2 linked regions of the Nothobranchius furzeri genome follow. The protein of the gene in region 2 purifies or fractionates together with the protein of the main gene of each other region. This does not show direct contact. Links are inferred from orthologs where the notes say so. Each region holds a gene or a part of one and is shown on either strand. Other genes may lie near its edges. The genes, in order: cops6 and dtl.

Evidence for each region.
Region 1: the proteins of dtl (region 2) and cops6 purify together in Homo sapiens (affinity purification with mass spectrometry; 4 studies listed by BioGRID and IntAct, with this or other methods). This does not show direct contact. The link is inferred for Nothobranchius furzeri from reciprocal best matches to the Homo sapiens genes DTL and COPS6.

What each region holds. Positions count from the first base shown.
Region 1 is NC_091741.1:79,987,571-79,991,623, reverse strand, and holds the start of cops6 (COP9 signalosome complex subunit 6), read left to right. Parts: upstream 1-1,253; 5' UTR 1,254-1,337; coding exon of another isoform or gene 1,338-1,438; exon of another isoform or gene 1,439-1,741; intron 1,742-1,817; 5' UTR 1,818-1,847; coding exon 1,848-1,890; intron 1,891-2,967; coding exon 2,968-3,093; intron 3,094-3,261; coding exon 3,262-3,393; intron 3,394-3,557; coding exon 3,558-3,646; intron 3,647-4,053. Other genes in the region: F-box/LRR-repeat protein 12, read right to left, coding at 1-622, 1,126-1,201, 1,338-1,438. UniProt on the Homo sapiens protein: Component of the COP9 signalosome complex (CSN), a complex involved in various cellular and developmental processes.
Region 2 is NC_091742.1:7,891,696-7,908,275, reverse strand, and holds the end of dtl (denticleless protein homolog), read right to left. Parts: 5' UTR 16,506-16,580; coding exon 16,445-16,505; intron 15,478-16,444; coding exon 15,340-15,477; intron 15,260-15,339; coding exon 15,167-15,259; intron 15,092-15,166; coding exon 15,030-15,091; intron 14,911-15,029; coding exon 14,790-14,910; intron 10,510-14,789; coding exon 10,444-10,509; intron 10,342-10,443; coding exon 10,226-10,341; intron 10,161-10,225; coding exon 10,087-10,160; intron 10,018-10,086; coding exon 9,911-10,017; intron 9,823-9,910; coding exon 9,718-9,822; intron 7,556-9,717; coding exon 7,443-7,555; intron 7,342-7,442; coding exon 7,252-7,341; intron 7,094-7,251; coding exon 6,970-7,093; intron 6,809-6,969; coding exon 6,195-6,808; intron 5,970-6,194; coding exon 5,889-5,969; 3' UTR 5,287-5,888; downstream 1-5,286. Other genes in the region: ppp2r5a (serine/threonine-protein phosphatase 2A 56 kDa regulatory subunit alpha isoform), read right to left, coding at 4,151-4,298. UniProt on the Homo sapiens protein: Substrate-specific adapter of a DCX (DDB1-CUL4-X-box) E3 ubiquitin-protein ligase complex required for cell cycle control, DNA damage response and translesion DNA synthesis.

The sequences.
Region 1 (4,053 bases), on a different chromosome or scaffold from region 2:
AGGCCATCTGTAACTGGTATCCTTGTCGTCCCGTAATTCCTATTTCAAGAAATTTCAGCCGTGAGAGCCCTTCTACCCCCGAGAGACCATCCTTGGCTGCACAATTTCGAAGCCCATTAGCTGTTATACGAAAAGTGTCACGCAACTCCAGTTGACTTAGCCTCTGCCACGATGTTAGACTCTGCAGATGCTGGTCTGTGAAAGAGGGCACATTGTTGAGGATTAACTTCTCAATACAAACTCCCAGAGGAGAGCCAAGCCCTGTTCCTTTCTGATCCCTTCCTTGATGAGGAGCACTAGAAGTGGCTTCTGCTTTGCCAGGGGGATGAGTGGCTGAATTAGAAGAGCTTTGGTTGAAAAAACCCCGAGGCAACTCACAACCACGCAGCTCCAGCACTCTCAAAGTTCGAGGGAAAACCAGGCAGTTAGGTAGACTTCTCAGGTCTGTATGCAGAAGGTAGAGCTTACTCAGACGGGGACATCTTGTGGACAAAGCTTTGAGCCAAGACTCAGAGAGAAAGGTGCCGCCTCGGGCTGACAGCAGCAAACCTCGCAAGCGAAGGCATCTTAGTCCACAACCAAGGTACTGACGCAGCAGGACCCAAAGGATGCGGGATGTCACCTGACACAGTGGATAGTGTGTGTGTGTGTGTGTGTGTGTGTGTGTGTGTGTGTGTGTGTGTGTGTGTGTGTGTGTGTGATGGGGAAAAGGAGAAAATAACTGTTAATAACTATGCAAACAAACACATTTTTCTTTAGGTTAAAATACACACGTATCACTGACTGGTTCATTATGGGTAAATAAGTTGATTTTATTCATGAGAAAGTTCCTCTTTTACTTTGGTGTTGCATCTAAAACCATCAAGTGACTTTACAAACGCAAAACTTTGTGTTTACCGTTTCTGTACATATTTATGAAAAAGCGTATAATTTAGTCATTCAGACAAAACATTAAAAATAACTTCCTTCTGACACAGGTGTTACTGGAACAGATATTTTATGTCTAAAACCTAATGCAACATTGTTTGTAACTCGCAGGTGTTACTTTATTGTGATTATTTTCATAAAGAATAAACATCAGATAAATAAAACGTTAAAGCCACACAGTGTGCTGACAATTCTTACCCCCTTCCATGAGGTCAAGTCGACAGTTTTCCACAGTCTTTGGTCTTTAACAAGGCGTTTCCATCTTTTGCACACCCTAAAAAAAAGAGGAAAACAATGGCAGCAACACAGAGCAAACTCACTTACACCACCGGATGAGTCATAACAAAGAAAAAGCCTGGCGCTGAGTTTTTGGCATACAAGCAAAATTTCAGCTGGAATACAGGTCTTACCTTCCAGCTCTGACAAGCTCTTTGACGCTCAGGTATGACAAAACATCTATCAAAATGTTCTCGGGAAAGTAGTCCAGATTACAGGCTTTAAATTCGTCCATTTCGTTAAAAAAAAAAAAAAAAAACTCGTAAAGCTTCCACACGGACTAATATCCTGACGCACACGGGTTGCGCCCAAATCAGTAATCCCCAGGAAACGGCTACTCGTTGACTGTATGATGCTGTATGACCTAGACGTTGGATTAAAGAACATACAATATTATAAATTCCTTCGGATAGTTGTGTCTCCGTCGATATTTTCTTTCTTTTGATAACACTTGACAAATTTCTGACAAAGGTCGAGCTCCACACCTTGTTTTGAAACAGCCTGAAATGCAGTTTGTTGCCACCTAACGTTCGTTAGCTGAACAGCCCTCCTGCGCCTGCGCGTTGAATAGATGTTGCACCGAATTGTGTGACCATGGTATATTGTGACTCCAGGAGGCGCTGTTGCCTCACACACCGGACAAGATGGCGACCAGCGATGGTGGAGGAATGGAAGTGGATGGGGCAGGCGAGTATTTATTTCTTATTTCACCATTTAAGTCTGACATCAGCATAGATGGATGTACGATTCCCTTACATGCTGTACAGTTTGGGTGTGAATGACCCCAAGTTAAGACTTAGTGTCATTAAAGGCTGCTGCTGACATAAGTGGGTTAACGTGCACTGCTCAGTCTGTAGTCATGACTCTGGATGTTACCGTCGCTCCTTTTCTGTTCTTTGACTGGAGTCTGGATGACTTGTGTGAATATAAATTTATATACACTAATTGTTTTTTGAAAATACTATTTTATGTATTCTGTTCAAATTACAGCACAGCATATTAGAGGAGCACACGAGGGACGTTGTGTACACCTGATTTCCATTGCTCTGTCACGTCATTTTGGCAAAAACAAACTACAGTTCAGTTGCTTCCCTTATTTTCGCCCACCTATGGCTTCACTACTAAGTTTATTTCAATTCGGCTTTGTTATTTCTGTGTGATGATGCAAACCTAACTCTAACCAGTTATATTTATCCTGGCTGCTGCCTAGCTTGGCCAGGTCTCCCTTGAAAAAGAGGTTGTTAATCTCAGTGGGATCTTCTTGGTTCAATAAATACATCAAACATTGGCCATATAAACAAAAACATCTGCTTGTTTATTGTTGTTTGTCTGGGTTGGTATCTGGGTATGATATTGCTGTGGTTAATGTGATTGACACTTTCTCAGCATCTAAAAAAAACTGATTCACCCATAGTGCTGCAGCAGTTAGCGCCATACCACAGAGACAACTCTTTAAAAGGAGAATTGAGAGCATTACATTTAATTAGTCCAATTTCTGATTTAGTGGAGACATCCTTCAGCTGATTATCTGATAAATGAGACATACGAGGGATTCTTTGGGATCTGCCTTATTGGAGTTAAAATATTATTTTTATACATAATAAAACTTCAAATATTTGCTGTTTGTTAAAATGCAACCTCCTTTTTCCCAAAACCAGTCATTTGTTTTACAGTTTTTGTTTGTTTTCGAGTAAAGAGCTTTATGTTACATGTTGCTGGTGTCCAGTTAAAGCTTATTTTACATCTGTGTCCACGTGTCTGTAGTGGGCCCTAGTGTCATGGCCTCGGGAGTCACCGGGAGCGTTTCTGTGGCCTTGCACCCTCTGGTCATCCTCAACATATCAGACCACTGGATACGCATCCGCTCCCAGGAAGGGCGACCGATGCAGGGTATGTGTCTCTTTCTCACCTGTTTGTTCTTAAAGAAAAAAAAACTGCTTCCAGGGAGAAACAAACCCTGCAGTTATCAAAGCTTTGACTTAGATTCTCTGTAATTAAAATGCAGTAACGTTTAATGCCATAATAATAAGTGTTGTTCATCATGTGTTCTCCTTTCAGTGATCGGGGCTCTGATCGGAAAACAGGAGGGTAGAAACATCGAGGTGATGAACTCCTTTGAACTTATGTCTCACACCATAGATGACAAAGTGCACATTGACAAGGAGTACTACTACACCAAGGAGGAACAGTGTAAGCATGTTTAAACATAACACGTTTGACAGGTGTAAAGTGTTCTTATGGGGTGATTTTAATAAGACAATAATGAAATGTGTTCAGTTTTAAACTTTGTAAATCAAGTTCCTCTTCTTTTTTTTTTTTTCAAAATGATTGTTAACTTTCATTTTGTCTTTCAGTTAAACAGGTCTTCAAAGAAATGGAGTTTTTGGGCTGGTACACCACAGGTGGCCCCCCCGACCAGTCAGACATCCACATTCACAAACAGGTAGAAACACTCTGACGTCCGTGTGATCTTAGCTGGAAGGAGATAAAAGACAAAGTTAAAAAATGACCATAAAAGCAAACATGACCTCGTTCAGCAGTGTGAAACTTTATTTTTTCCAAAAATTGTCTTAAAATCCTTCAAATTGTGGCTTGAGTTATGTTCAGTTCTATTCAGTTTATCTATATAGCAAAAAATCATGACATGAGTTGTCTCTCAAGCCCACACTGTAAACATTTCAATAATAATAATAATACATTTTATTTCAAGCGCCTTTCAAAGCTCTCAAGGTCACTGTACAAGACAAAATATAACAAGCAAGCAATACAAACAACAAGAAATAAATGCTAAGAGTAATTCCCAAGGGTAGAGTCGGAGCAGTGCAATGGATAATAGACTAAAAAGAGTAG
Region 2 (16,580 bases):
GCATTTGCTATCCGTAGCTTTAGCAGCAGAGAGTGAGGTAGTGCCACTTAGTCGCTGTTCCTAACGCCTAGTGATGAACCTAGCTACATTTCTGAGGACCCTTAGCTACTTTCTTCTAGATATTTCCTGCAAATTAGCAACAAAATAGCCATTTTCGCTCCGAACCGTTCTTTGAACGTTGTTTCAACTGTCATCAAGGATATAAATGTTACAGATACAAAAGATGTTACTGGCGCTTTAGCTCACCTAGTAAGACCTCGGACTTATGTGCAGAAGACACGGGTTCGATTCTAGAAGTGAATATAGTTTATCAAGTTTCTTTTTTACATTAATGGTATATTTTTTTACAGTAAGATGCCCAAATTTTTATTTGAGACTCTCTGAACGGCATTGAATTCACAGGTAAAGAAGATGTGGGTTCAACTTTCATTTTGGAACAATTTTTCAAGCAAGGGAAGGGAATGATCTGAGCATGCAGGAGGACTGACCCATCATAAACCTTTGTCGGCTGTGCTGAAGAGAAAGGTACAGAACCAAATTATTTAATTAATTAGCTGCGCGTTCACCTGTCCTCTGTCCTCCGGGCCACACACACACACGACTGTCTCAGCTGTTACTTTCGTTAAGGAGTGTGCACGTACAGCATGCGCACCTCGTGCACGAGCCTACTATTGAAGCTGCCGTTACGCTTTTGGCCTGAGGGGGCAATCGCGAGCATAAAAATTCAAAACTCCGTAAAGTCCCTTTAAAAAAAGACAAAGAACACCATAAATAACATTTCTTCTGCAGAAATTCAGTGGACCTGCAGACTGTTATGTCCAAAATCCTGTGAAAGTGCAGAACTCGTCTCCTTTTAGTTCCATCCATTGCCCTCCGCTGATCCGGGGTCAGGTTGCGGGGGCTGCAGCAGCCTAAACGTAGAGTCCCCAGCCACTTGGGGCCAGCTCCTTTGGGGGAATCCCAAGTTGTTCCCTGACCAGCCAAGAGACATTGTCCCTCCAGCGTGTCCTGGGTCTTCCCTTAGGTCTCCTCTCAGTTCGACATGCCAGAATACCTCCTGCATGCCTTCCTTGGGAGGTTTTTCAAACCAGATGCCAGAGCCACCTCAACTGGTTCCTCTCGATGTGGTGGAGCAGTGGACCGAGCCCCTCCCGGATGACCGAGCTTCTCAGACACCCTGCAAAGAAAACTAATTTTGGCCGCTTGTATCCACAATCTCATTCATTCGGTCATTACCCAAAGCTCGTGAGGGTTGGGACGTAGATCGACCGACAGAGCTCCTTGTAGTGGTTTTATTAAAAGTTTAACGCTTTATGAAAATTTTAAACTGGCTTTTAAACATAAAAGTAAGATTTGGGAGAGTTGTTCACAATCAACTTAAGGAGAAAAACAAAACGCTGCAAAACCTGTTTGCTGAATAATTACCAATAAATACATCAAAACCGATCCATAAGGGTTCGAATGAAGGCAACTAGACTTCTTTGGTTTCTTTAAGACGTTTCGCTTCTCATCGGAGGACCTTTTTCCAATTATGACTGCAATAAGGGATGGTCAAGCTCATAATCAATTTCCCTCTGGGATTAATAAAGTATTTTTGAATTGAATTTGAATTGAATAACAGTCCTTTGTCTTTATGTCTGTTTCATCTAATTTTTATCTTCTATGTTTTTCTTTATGTAAAGCTAACTATGAGTCTGTTGCTGCTGCCTCTTGGCCAGATCATCGTCGTAAATGAGAATGTGTTCTCAATCGGCTCATCGGGCTAAATGAGGGTTAAATAAATAAAAATAAATAAGCTGCAGCTGTCTATTGTTGCTTAACGAGCAGAAACTGACTCTGAAAACCAACTTCCTTTCATTTCCAAAGGTAGGTCACGTAAAACCTTTTGAGTTTTTTTTTTAAATCATCGCTCCCATTTCAAGTTCAGTGCTAATTTCCTCTTTTAATCATGCAACCACATTGCAGACGTTCTTTCACGCACGACAGCAGAAAATCAAAACACAAAATTCTTTGAGACACGTTTGGTTTTTCAAAACCTCGATAGTTGAGTCATGTTAGAAAGCGTCAGCAACCTGACAGAACAAGTTCCCTTCACTCCAGCTTTGCTCGGCCCCTTCAGCATCAAAATATTTCTCAAGCTGTTGCAGCTTGTCAAACTTAAAGTGGAGAGAAACTCGCTAAATTATAGCTCTGACTACGGTGGATCATCTCCAATCCTCTTCAAGGCAAGACTTGTGTACAACCTGCTGCTCTTCAGTGGTATAGTGACAAAAGCAAACGGTGTAAAAACCCTCAATGTTGATTGAAACAAATATATGTAGTCAACAGCAGGACTGGTGTGACTAGACGCTAGAGGAAGCTAACCGACAGACGCGACAAAGGTGTCTGGTATCAGCATGCATGCTTCGATTTGTCACGTTATTGATGCACTTGCAAAGACAAACAGCTAAAACAAACATACGTGTCTGTCAACATATTGTAGCGAATCTCAAACACAGATCACTGTCCAAGAATGAAGCAAAACGACCTGTCAGGAGAGTGGCGCGAAAAAAATAATAAAAGAATTGTAGTTGAGATACACTTTAAAGTTCTCATGTTCTCTTTTTTTAAATGAATTTGCTTTGGGTGGGAGGGCAGAAAATGACAGGACATCAATCAAATCTATTTCCCTCTGGGATTAATAAAGTATTTTTGAATTGAATAGAATTTGAATCAGATATCTCTTCCTGACTGGCTAACAGCAAAACAACACTTTCACTGCCTTCATTTGCAGTGTTTTTCCTTGTGTAAAAAAATTCGTTAATTTCATCTCCACAACTAACAAGCCTAAACTTGCTCCTCCGTGTTGTGGAGTTGCTAATGCTAATGGTTAGCTTCTACTAGTAAAGACGCACTCTGGTAACAAAATCAATACCGTAGACCGGGAAAACAAGTCTTCCCTGTAACGTAGAAGAGACTGGCTTGATGGTTTCCCCATCCATTTCCTTTCTGCGGCTAACGCAAGTGATGAAAGTTGAACATTTTCATGTTTAGCATGCTTATTCAACTGAGAATGAGCGATTTTATTACAAAAAGAATCATTACAATGTTTCCCAGTCAACGAGACCTTTAAAATGCATAACACCAGTGTTTATGAAAACATGTGAAATTACACACACAAATGAACAACCTGGTGTGTCTGTTTCTATAGTTTCTACCTGCAACACATAGCCATGTAGCAGCCTACCCAATAGGCGGCTCGTGGGCCAGGTCCGGCCCGTGAACCCCACCTCTTTGTGGTACCTGGACCACCACCACTACCCCTCCTTCCCTCCCGGTATGGCCCTCAACATCATAGGAATTCTTTAGTGAGGCCCTTGGCCACTTATATTCGAGTACCCCTGCTCTAGATGCTGCATCTCCCTTTGAATTGTTATGATTTAAATGGAAACTTTCAGATAGATCATCTTGATGAGTAAAAGCACGTTGTGCACCAAAATCAAATTGACCAGTGATCAGAATTGGCCAATAATCTAGGCACTCAGTGCTTTCTATTATTCACACACTCAAACACTGACTCTGCCAATGATGGTAAGCTACTATGTAGCCACAGCTGCCTTGTGGTGGTCTAACAGAGGCAAGACTGCAGCTCCTCTGACTATCACCAACATAGGCAAGTTAAGGGTCTTGCCCAGAAAGACAACAGCAGAATACCCTGACAGGACCCGTGATCGATCCTGCAGTCTTCTGATCACTAGGCAACCCGCTCTACCTCCTGAGCTAATCAACAACGACTGAAATCTGTGATCAAATCTTCCAAGTGGAAGAGATTCTGTTTATTTTAGTTCCTTGAGGTAAATCAGGACAGTGCTGCAGTAAAATCAGAGCTCGGTATTGGCCTTTAAATCCAGAATCGGCACAGCCCAAATGTGAACTCACTCATTATGATCAGACCCATGCCTTTCTGAAATAACTCCAAGTAACATAAAATACAATTACAAATGACAAACGTGGCCACAGAAAACTCTAAATATTCTGTAAAATGTTGAACATTAGATTTGCACCCACAAGATTAAGACTTTAGCCAAGAAAAACAGAACTATGTAGTTTGCACAGAGAGAGCAGGCACTCGGGACCATTAAAGCGGCAGACCTGCACCCTCTCACCGTACCTTTGAGCTGCGGCAGCGGGGAGAGCTCCACCACGGAGCTCTGACTTCGGTACTGGGACGAGCCCTGGGATTTTCTCTGTTTCTGCGCCTTCCTCATGGACTTCCTCGTGAAGCCATCCACCTTCTCGGATGCAGTGATGGCCGACATTTTGGTGCATAAACTCACGAAGATGATCGCAGACGAGGAGCTGATCGTAGGTTAGGTGATCGTGGGGGTTTCCGCCTCCTCTTCACATCAGCATCAGATTCTGGAGCGAAGTGTCCGTCTCATCCAACATTTTCGGTGCGCACTCCGGGGCTAGACCGAGTCGTTCACCTGCATAACCTGCATAATTGAGGTGTCTCAATTGTAACCAGTTTTAAACGCAAACTAAATATCAAAGAAAAGCCAGATCAACACACCGAAAGCTCTACGATCCAAAGTTAACCGCGTAACACTACTAAGCGGCCAAATGTTTGTGTTTCATCATGTTTGCGATGGGTCTACCTGTTGCAAAACATGCATGATATATTGCCATCTGAAAAAAGTTTTCTGAAATTGGCGTAAAGTAGCAAAAAGCGCAGTTTTAAACCCCCAACTCCACTTCAAGCCCCGGATTTAATCCTTCAGACTTCCGCCGAGTGTCGCTAAGAGCTATTCTTGCTTCACCGACTCGTTTAGCCTAAAGTTACCCGCTTAAAGCGACTGTTTGCTTTGCTGCATTCCTCGCGGACTGAAGAGCGTCGGTTCCGGTTTCACGGCCTCGAAAAAGACGAAAAAAAATACCCCCCACACACAACTGAGTCGATCAGGCAGCCATGAACGCTCCCGTGTTTTCCGCCTGTGCAGTCGGTGGACTGACGACAGGTTTACGTTTGACGTTTCTGACAGCCAATCAGAAGTTGAGACTTACTTTTTTAACCAATCAGAAGAATGAAAACAGTTCGAAACGTCAGATAGAATTACCAAATAAGTGAAAAAAAAAAAAAAATATATATATATATATATATATATATATATATATATATATATATATTATATTAATAATTTATCATTCATCGATATTTATATATTTTAAAAATATATAATATATGAGTTTAAAACAATAAAATGTCCCACCACCTTTTAATAAACAAAATATAAAATTAAACACCAACATTTGAAACAAGTTTAATATATGAACATTTGAATCCAACAAACGTGTGATGATAAAATACAAATACATTTTTTTCTTATTTGTACATGTAAACAGCTAAACAGGCACATGTCCTCAAGAGCAAAAAAAATTTAAATAAAAATGTCTGCATAAAATGAATGAAATACAAACAAGAAATCCATGTATGAGAAATATAACAAAAATTAAGACATTTTTTTAACTATAGAGCTGATTTTTGATTAATTTGTTTTTAAATGCAAGTCAGCACATGGGCTATATTATATAAATGAAACAAAAAGATAACCCTCACCCACAGTTAAATGTTACAAAAAATCTGACCTTTTATCAAAACCTAAAGCATCTATTGATGTTTTTAAATTGAAGTAAATTGGTAGATTTACATATGAACATAGAAACAGAATTTCTGTGAAGAACCAGAAAATTGGGTAACAGGCAACATCACAACCTAAGTTCAGTTAAAACAACAATCATAAAAATATTTTTAAAACGCTAATTTCTAAATATCTAAACAAAATCAAACATGCTTCTTAGGCTGTGCAAACTTGGTTTGAAATATCCCCTAAGCTAAATCCTTCCCTCGTTCAGCTCTCATTCAGACTCCTTTTTTCAAAATACACAGAGATTTTCTTCATGGTCTTTAACCAACTCGAGTCAACTCGAATCTGGAACAACAAAAGAGGAAAAGTCAGGCATGATACTCGTTATAAGAGTTTAAATCTTTAGATTAAAAACACAAAAACATGATTTTTTCCCCCCGACAAACAGAAAAAGTCGTGAATGCAAATAATTCTATTTTCGTGGAACTACAGTTGAAGTAAAAGGCGGACATGCTGATCATTTGTGTAAAAAGGTGAATCTGCTCCTAAACCAGGGAGCCGTGGACTTACTGGTGAAGTCTGTGCTTTTCCATCTGGTCTTTTAAAGTAACTGGGCTTCCTGAGAGCAGCAGGACTTTCAGGACTATTCTTCATCTTTTGGCTCATTTCTGACAGCCAGTTAGTCGCTCTGGGAAAGCGGTTCTCCTTTCCAGCCTGTCTGAAGGAATCTTGTTTGCCTTTATCTGTGCGACAGTCTGTTTGTCCTGAGTTCTCCTGAACTGGGCGACAGACTTCAGACTGGACGCGGCTTCTCTTGGCCGTGGGGTAGAGTCCAGTTTCACAGTCACGCTGGTTGGCGTCCTCACAGTGCTGAGATGACTGTTCATCGGTTTCCAGCTTCCGTTTGGTTCGGGGCTGATCTGAAGAGGTGCTACTCTCTGGGCTTGAAGGAAGAAAAGGGACCTGACCTGGAGACTCGTGGGTTGGAGAAAGCCACTTTTCAATGGAGGACGCTCTGTGATGAGCAGCAGGCGGCTTAGAACGGATGGGTGATGTGGTGTTGGAGGGGAGAGGCAGATCGGCTCCACTGGGGGCACAGGCAGCAAGCAGAGGTGAGGGGAGACCAGAAAGACTCCTCACTTCCCAGTCTTTCAAAGGCGTCGTTTCAGGTCTGAGTGAAAGACCTGAACAGCAAAAGTCACACCAGTTCAGCTCAAACCATTAGCCTACTCAATCATGTAGTGCAGCTTTAATGTTTTTGCCGGTGTTGCTCAGAAAGTGATAACTGGATTTTCATCTAGAACTAATTCAATATGGTCGCCACAGATAAACAACAAGTACGTACTGGTGGGAAGTTTAGGTCGTGCCCAGCCTACAAGGTTGGCCTCCCCCACCGATGACTGTGGATCATCAGTTTCCCTGTGAAGTCTCCATATCCGGACAGTGTGATCATCGGAGCAGGAAGCAATCTGTCAACAGAGCAGAGGGGGTAAAAAAAGTAACTTTTTAAAACATAAAAATAATCAATCAAAACAGTTCAAATGTGAAAAAATAAACATTCTTGGTTAAGAAATTTTGTATTAAAACATTACATTCTGGTTCATCACCCTGAGGTTTAAAAACATACTTTGGCAAAATCCGTTGGACACCAAGCGACAGATGTCACTTCCTCGCTGTGACCCTGAAGCGTCATGGGAGGACGTTGAGGATCAGAAATCTGAAATGTTATCAAGTAGTTTTTATGCTCTGCTCTTTGATAGAATCAACACGAGGAGAGAAAAAAAAAAAAAAGATTTAGGCGCTGGCGTAAGGCGGTACCTTCCAGATGTGAACGTTGTTGTCACTCGAGCCACTGGCCAGGAACTGGTCGTTGGGGCTGATGGTGGACTTCACATAAAACGAGGAGTTCTGGTGTCCACTGAAAACTGCCACTGTGTGAGCAAACGTGATTCAGAACTTCAGGCATTAAAGCCGCTATAACAAATCTACACAACAAGCTAGGCTTCAACCTCAAACACAGTCACGAAACACTCATCCCTCCCCTCGAGTATCTTCCCTAAGGCTCTTCTGCTGGAACTGGAAACCCACTACGATGGACAAAACGAGATATTGCTAAACACCAGTCGCTGTTTTCTAGGTCCAAACGTCTTTTGTTGTCTGTGATTTCAAATGGTGTTTATATTTTCAGAACTTTGGTAGATTGTCTAAAAGTTGAAGTGGTAGCAGCCGGCTGTTTCTCCTTTTCTGATATTATTGAGTGGAGAACCTCTCACACCAGTGGTGTTCTGTTGCTAAATACGTCAGTGCGTAAAGAATGGAGAACCCAGGAAAGTGTGGTGGTTCTGACAACTGGATGGTCCTATGGTTGCTTTTGGTCCGAAGCATGTTATTGGCCCTCCGCCAATCAGACAAATGTAAGAGAACATTTTATTAATTTTTTTATTATTTTATTAAATTTATTTATTTGTTATAAATGCAGGGGACTGTTCTGTTCTGGTCCTGCTGGACCTGACTGCAGCCTTTGACACTGTTGACCATCACCTGCTACTGGAGAGGCTGAGAGACTGGGTAGGCCTATCAGGATCTGCTCTGGAGTGGTTCTCCTCTTATCTCTCTGAGCGCTCCTTTTCTGTGGCCGTCTCCAAGTTTAGGTCCTCCACCACCTCTCTTACCCATGGTGTCCCACAAGGTTCTGTGCTGGGGCCTCTGCTCTTCCTCCTCTATCTGCTTCCTCTTCAGCGCATCCTGAGCTCCTTCAAAGTAATCTCCTACCATCTTTATGCAGATGACATCCAACTGTACATCTCCTTTAAGCCCCATGAGATGTCTAAGCTGCAGCTGTTACACACCTGCTTAGACTCTACGAAAACCTGGATGGCTGGAAGCTTTCTTCAGCTGAATGAAGATAAGACTGAGAACCTCATCTGTGCCCCAGACAAGCTGGTTCCCAAAGTCAGAGACTCTCTTGGTCAGCTTGCTTCTCACACCAAACGTTCCGTCAGGAATCTTGGCGTGACCTTTGACCCAGCTCTCACCCTGGATTCTCATGTCAGTTCTCTTGTTCGCTCTTCCTTCTTCCATCTCAGGAACATTGCTAAGCTGAGTCCCATTCTGTCCTCCTCTGAACTTGAGACAGTTATCCACACCTTCATCTCCTCACACTTAGACTACTTTAACTCTCTTTTCACGTGTCTGAGCAGAACCTCCCTGAACCGTCTACAGCTGGTTCAGAATGCCTGTGCTCGGCTTCTGACCATGTCCTCCAAACACACCCACATCACTCCGCTTCTCCTCCAGCTTCACTGGCTGCCAGTCAACTTCGGGGTTCATTTCAAGATCCTGGTTCTGGTCTATAGGGCCTTACATGGACAAGCACCATCTTACATTGATGATCTTCTTAGTCCCTACACCCCCAGCAGGTCCCTGAGGTCCAGTGATCAAAGCCTACTGGTTGTGCAGCACCAGGCTAAAGACCAAAGGTGACAGATCATTTGCTGCTGTGGCCCCCAGACTCTGGAACTCTCTCCCCCTGAGCCTGAGATCAGTGGACTCAGTGGACTCCTTCAAAAAGCAGCTGAAGACTCACTTGTTCAAGCTGGCTTTTGTATGACCTTCTTCACCACTCTCTCTTTATTCTGCTCTCCCCATCTATTCCACCTTCCTCAGGATCCACTGATTTCCCTCTTTCCTGTTCACTCTCTCTCTCTTTCTTAACATTTTTTCTTTTAAATCGCAATTGCTTATTCTTGCTCATTTTAAATATATTTTTGAACATTTTTGAAATGCTTTTTTATATTTTTACAATTTTTATATTTTTTGTTATTGGTTTTTGTGAAGCTCCTCGTGATTTTTATCTTGAGAGGCGCTATAGAAATGATATTTTTTCTTTCTTTCTTTTCTTTCTTGTTGTGACAAGATCTGAAGATTTAAGTTTCCAAAAAAAAAAACAACTAAAAAGCATCTCAACTTCTCCCTTCTGGTGCTCTGCTCCCCGCCAAAGTAAAAGCACAAACCCTTAGCACCATCTAGTGATTTAAAAGCAGTAAGGAGAAAACGGTCTCTGTGCCAAAGATATAAAACCTGTCCTTGTTACCTGGTGATGTTTTAATCCCACACACGTTAAACATGTAGATGTTGTCATCTGTGCAATTGCACATGACGTTGGATCTCGAGGAGTCCAGAACGAGTCCGGAATAACCTGCAACATTAATTTCAGTTCATTTGGAGTCTTTTGGATATATATTTATATATTATTAATATGTTGATCTTTACAGAGCAGGACCGACCCAGACGCATGCGTGTGCAGGTGCCAGAGTATGGATAAGTCTGCAGAGGAACGGGATCGTGGCGACATGGGCTGTAGCTCTTCCTCAGATCCCACATTTTTATTACTCTGAAAGGGTGGGTGGGGTCATTTTTATGGTCAATTTTATTTTGACGAGCTGAAGAGTTGTGCGTTTACCCATCAACAGCTCCTGAAGAGATGAGTGTGTGTTGATCCCGAAACAAAACCACAGTCACACTCTGCTGAGTATCCTGGGAAAACAAAGATAAGAGATTTTTGTCGTACCAGGGAAAAAAAAGATAATTCAGAAACTCACCACACTCGGAGCCATCCCACGTATGCTGCTCCGTCTCTTCTTCCACTTAGGAGGAGGATGCAACTCTGCTTTGTTGTGAGCGCCGCTGATCTGTTTGACCTGCTTGTAAAAGCCATCTGAGAACGAGACACAAATCACGAGAAACACACCAAGAACATTAATCACCCAAATGCATTTACTTGCCAACAACTGAAGCATTTGCAGCAGAAGTTCCTAACCTTTTTGGCTGCACCTTATGTCCCAGACCATAATATTTCCATCTCTTCCTCCAGTGCAGAAAACAGCTGTTTGTCAGAAGAAAATGCAACAATTATTGGATGTTGTAGGAACTATCGACGTTTCTTCACAAGATCTTCTGTAACGAATCTGAGGGAATCACCAACTGAAGACACAATTTTACTGAAAGACTTGCGAAGAGGATCCTTCATGTCCTTCACTTTGTGATCTGTCTTCTTTTGTCCAATCAGCTCTAGACACTCTACACTAATGTCTGTCCTTGATGTAGGTAAACTGCTGAGTCTTGACCTGATGAGTTGGCTCTTCTGCAATAGGCCATCCTTTTGTGTAGCTGCGGTTTCGCCGGTGTAGAACATTCATGCTACTCTCCACTTCCTACACGTAGACAATAGCCACAAAGAAAAGAACCAGGACACCTCCGCATTTCCATCTGTAGACGTTATCTTTGTATTTGAAATAAGTGACGAAAAGGCATGGATGTTATCGGTCACCAAGAAGCTACATGAATGGATAATAGAGGAGATTACGCGCTACACGACAGACCTTCAAAGTTAAAGCCTCATTGGTCCTCACACACTGGTGAAATTCATCTCCGCATTTGACCCATCCCATGGGATGTGGTGAGCTGCAGCGGTGGCTGCGCTCAGGAACTATTTGGTGGTTTAACCCCCAATCCAACCCCTTAGCAGGGAGGCGTTTGTATGACCAGACCGGGATTTGAACCGCAATCTCCCAGTTCCAGGGAGGACACTCTTCCACTAGACCACTGAGAACATATCTTTCTGCAAATACTAAAGATGTCGCGCCTGCTCTGCCCTTTCTTACAGCTTTGCTGTTGAGTCTCCAATAGAAATTGCTGTTCAGTAGAACACCAATATCCCTCCATATCTTCTTCCACAATGGAACCAGGGTTTGACATAATACATCCATCATCTTTTGCTTATCCGTGGTCGGGTCATGGGGGCAGCAGCCTGAGCAGAGACGTCCAGACTTCCCTCTCCCCAGCCACTTGGGCCAGCTCCTCCGAGGAATCCCACGACATTCCCTGGCCAGCCGAGAGACACGATAAATGACCCGCACTTGTAGAGCGCCTTTCAGAGTCAGAGGAATTAAAAGTGCTTTACATTACAGTGTAACATTCATCAATTCACACACTGGTGGTGATGAGCTAAAATGTATCTCAACTGGCTTCTCTTGATGTGGAGGAGCAGTGGCTCTACTCCGAGCCCCTCCCGGTAAACCAAGCTTCTCGCCCCATCTCTAAGAGAGCCCAGACACCGTGCAGAGAAAACTCAGTTTGGCCACTTGTATCCACAATCTCGTTCTTTTGGTCACTACCCAAAGCTTGAAGAGCACGTCACCCCTCCATTGGCTACCGTTAGCTGCACACATCAGATTCAAATTGCTAACGGTAGCATACGAAGTCCTGGATGGTACGGCTCCCATCTACTAGAATCCTCTTATAAAGGTGTACGTCGTGGCCCGGCTGCTCTGGTCATCGAATGGTCGTCACGCTCAGGACAATCCAGACTCTTCATGTGTCGTTCCACAGATGTGGAATGCCCTGCCAAGCACTACCAGAACAATCCTTTTGGTTTTAAAGAAATTCCTGAAGATCCAGATTTTCTGAGAACATCTTCCAAACTAGCACCCTCCCAACACCCGTCCTCCACTCTACTGTCCATCCTTATTCACTTCCCTTTGTGATTCATTATGCTGTCTCACTGCCACCTAGGATTGATTGATTAGTATTTATTGTTAGCCTCAAGGGCAACCTGCTGGCTTCATTATCGCTTGTAAGTCACTTTGGACAAAAGGTGTCTGCTAAATACGTAAACATAAACAAGACTGAGCGGTAAACCGGGAGCTTTGCTTTGCGGCTCAGCTCTCTCTTTACCACGACAGACCAGTGCAATGCCCAGTACAGCTGGGATTATTGACATATTCCCAGTTCTTCAAAACAACTTCAACAAATGAGGAGCAGAGTCCCCCTGGGTGCTCCCGACAACTCGTTCAGACAACATTTCGGTCTCACACCAAGGTCTGTAGTCACTGATCCAGGGGTTGTGGAGGTGTCCAACTGTGTCTTCTCAAGTTTCTTTCATATTAAAATCAGCCTGGATTGTGTTCTGGAAAAGTCAAAGAACATAACCCACAGTGCCACTCGCTTTGATCGTTGGAAGTGTGTGATGATGTCTTCAACTACAGCTGCATGATGATAATGATGTATGATGTTACTGCAACAGATGGAGATTTCTTAGGCAGGGCTTCTTCCAGAGCAATGGAACCTTCACCTGGGTCAGGCTAAGGTTGACCAATCCCACATAGGTGCTTCGGCCGTTCCTTGAGGACTTTGGATTTGAAACCATCTGGTTATGCAGCTTTAATCAAGTTTAGTGTCTCCATTTGCCTCTTCATCGAACTGCAGAAGACAGACAGGTGCCAGGAAGGAGGCAAACGGAGCCTTTCCTGATGTGGTTGACAATGATGAGGAAACCGCAGCAGCTGGAAGATAAAACGGTTGAGGTGTGTTGGGAATCTGGACGAAGGGACAGTAGATGCGTTTGGCTGGGGACCAGAGAGGAGAGCGCTGAACTGAAGCTTTTAAAGAACGAGCCAAGTTCATTCAAGCTTCAGCTTGGGAACTCCTCATCAATTCATATCTACACTTTGATTTACTCTTTACTCCACAATGATTCCATGTCTCCCTCCCTTAAGGTTCTTCTTTTAGAGTTCTTTCAGTTCACATTTGACCCAGGGTTTGTTGTTGGGGTGGCACCTCACTGTTCTTGACCTTTGGTTGATTCTTCATCACTACCTTCTCCTCATTCAGCTCCATCAATTCTGCCTTTCCCGGGATCCACTGATCACTTACTTATTCGTTTTCCTTTTCCTCACATTTTTTCATCACAAACTTTGTACTTCTCCTAATTTTATGATTTTTTTAATCTTGTGATTTTTTTTCTTGAGAAGTGCCATATAATCCTCAAAATCTCCCTGTGATCATCTCCTCACAGTTCCTCTGGTCACAGGTTGACTCTAGACAAGGGGTGTTGCACAAAGGGCAGAGAAAGACAAGATAAGGATCCACGATGCCAGGAGCTGGATGCATCCTCGACGTTGGCAAATAGCAAATCCAGCGGGTTTTTTTCCTCTGGTGGAGAAGCGGACATGCTGCTGAAATCTTGGCAGTGCAGCAGAGAGAAGCATGGTGAAAATATCCAGATAATACCACAGATGCTTTTGGGGGTTATGTCTGTAACGTAGCAACAACTGTGCTGATGACATCACATGCAGAGTGAGCAGGAGATGATGCTGGAATGTATACTACTACCACGACAACACTGATGAAGTCTCGGCTTCATTTTCAGACATGCTTTTTCACAGTAGTGAGCTGTAGATTGCACCATCTGTTGTTGACAATTAATGTTTAAAAACAACAATAAAATAAAATTATGCAACAGATCTTGGGCCATTTAATTTGCCCCCCCCCCCCCACACACACACACACACACACACTCATTTATTTTGAATAAATATTTTCCTCAACTAAAGCGAAGAATGTGATACACCTGAAATGATCAGTGCAAAGTTGATGTATAGACAATTCAGGACAAGCCCTTTCTGCATCACCTACAGAGTGGTTTCCATGGTAACATGACACACATCTCTCTCTCTCTCTCTCTCTCTCTCTCTCTCTCTCTCTCTCTCTCTCTCTCTCTCTCTCTCTCTCTCTCTCTCTCTCTCTCTCTCTCTCTCTCTCTCTCTCTCTCTCTCTCTCTCTCTCTCTCTCTCTCTCTCTCTCTCTCTCTCTCTCTCTCTCTCTCTCTCTCTCTCTCTCTCTCTCTCTCTCTCTCTCTCTCTCTCTCTCTCTCTCTCTCTCTCTCTCTCTCTCTCTCTCTCTCTCTCTCTCTCTCTCTCTCTCTCTCTCTCTCTCTCTCTCTCTCTCTCTCTCTCTCTCTCTCTCTCTCTCTCTCTCATCACAGTTGTCGTTTTTTGCTTATTCAAAACACATTTTTAATTATTTTCTAAAATCGTGATTTTATCTTGAGAGGCGCTATAGAAAAGATCATTTTCTTTCTTTCTTTAATATTTTCAGCTCATCTCGTTTAATAACAATGACCGTCAAGATTAAACGCTGAAAAGGTGACAGGTAAATATTTACTCCTGGAGTCTGATTTTTCTGATATCAGAAACAAAACAACAACTATAAAATGAATTCATTCTAAAACATTATGCATACATTTCTTCAGAATGATCCACAGAAACGTGAAAGCAGCCCAGAGCTGGACTCAACACCACAGCGCAGCATTTGTGTAAAATCTACCTTTTTCCCCCGGAGCAAATGCAACAGACTTGAGGCTGCAGAGGTGACCTTTGAAACTCCCTAAAAGCTCCCCAGACTTCACATCCCACAGCCTGGCCATCTGGTCACCAGCAGCAGTCACCTGATGAAGGCAGAACATGTTAGAAAAAGATTCACTGGTATTAGAATAAATTATTTTAAAAAAAACTAAGTTCTGTTACACAGAGCTTGAATAAGTAGTTGAAATTATAGCATTTATACCAGCTGAGGCTCTCCTGGCACCCATGCAATGTCAAAGACAGCATTCTCATGAGCTAGCCATTCTGTAAAGTTCACATTCAGTTAGAAAACATCATCTGTACACACACAGAAGTAATTATGGAGCGATGTTCAAGTACCTTTAAGAAGAGGGTTTTCCTGGCTCTCTGTGTTGTAGATCCGAACAATCCCTTCTTCATTCGCTGCTGCAAGAATATTTTGCAGCTCAGCACCTAAAAGGAGATGCATTTAGTTTTAAAAATAAGGGAACATTGCCGTATTCCAGTATTTTCACATCATGCAAATAGATTACTGGAGGAGAAGGTCAATCCAAACGGTGGCATGGAGTCGCCCATGTTCCCATAAGAGATGTGCTCATCTTGTCGGGCACACTGGTAGCCTCCCAGCAGGAAGCTGAGGGGGATTCTGGAGCAGGAGTCTGCATGGAGAGCTGCACAGATGGAAACCATGGTAAATCAGAGCAATCGGATTCATGAACGCTGACTCCTAAATGAACTTTGGACTGTATATTCCTCAGAAATGTAGTTAAATTTTTCTGTTTGTACCCTTTTTATTTGTTTATTGTATGAGAGAGGGAGCCTGGAGCCATGGACGTAATTTTTTTTTTGGGGGGGGGGACATGTCAAGTTTTGACCCCTGCACTTTTTACCATCCAAAAACAATATTACGCTATATTAAATTGACACTGGTTGAGCTCTAGGACTAAGCGGAAAACAACCGTTTGTGTTGAAGCCTGTTTCCCATTAGAGCATACTGTAAAGATCCCCCCACTTCTAAAGTGAAAATTACATCCATACCTGGAGCTAAAGGCTGTACCTGCCCTTTTAAGGTATGTGAAAAGCCAACGTATATAAATGCAGTGATCAAAAAGATCTGCAATGGGAGTGGTACCGGTTTGATTCCTGCTCACTCCAAACTGCCTTTAGGCAGCACACTTCACACACCTTGCTATTTCACCTCTGTAAGTCGCCTTGTATAATAGTATAATGCATAAACATAAAAAACACCGAGAACGAACACAAAGAAACACAAAAAAAGGATTTTTAGCTATTTCACTCTTTGCTGGTTATTTTGATGGTGATCACAGATAATGTTAAAGCTCAGCTAAATAAAAGTTTAGTTAGGGAATAATTATTAAATTGTGCTGGCATAAAATGTTTGAAAATACTAAAGAAACCGCAGGATGACGTAGCATTTACGTCATATGCTGATTTCAGTTGGCTTTTTGAACATTTCTTCTCTCAAAGATAAAGAACCAGAACGAGACAGCCATCTAAGATTAAACAGCTATATAGATTTTTCTATGCCAAACACAAAGGTTGATTTTTTTTCCCTATCAAGCTAAAAGCTACCAGCAGTTACAGATCTCAAAGTCCCCTAAGCGCATCGTGGCTCACCATTTTGCCTCCGTCGACCCACTTCTCTGTCAACAACAGAACGGAAAAGCACTCCCATCATCCAGTACAGAGACGATCTGAAAGAAACACTTAGAAGTTGGTCAGATCGTGAACTGGGGGTCTCCTCTTGTCTGTA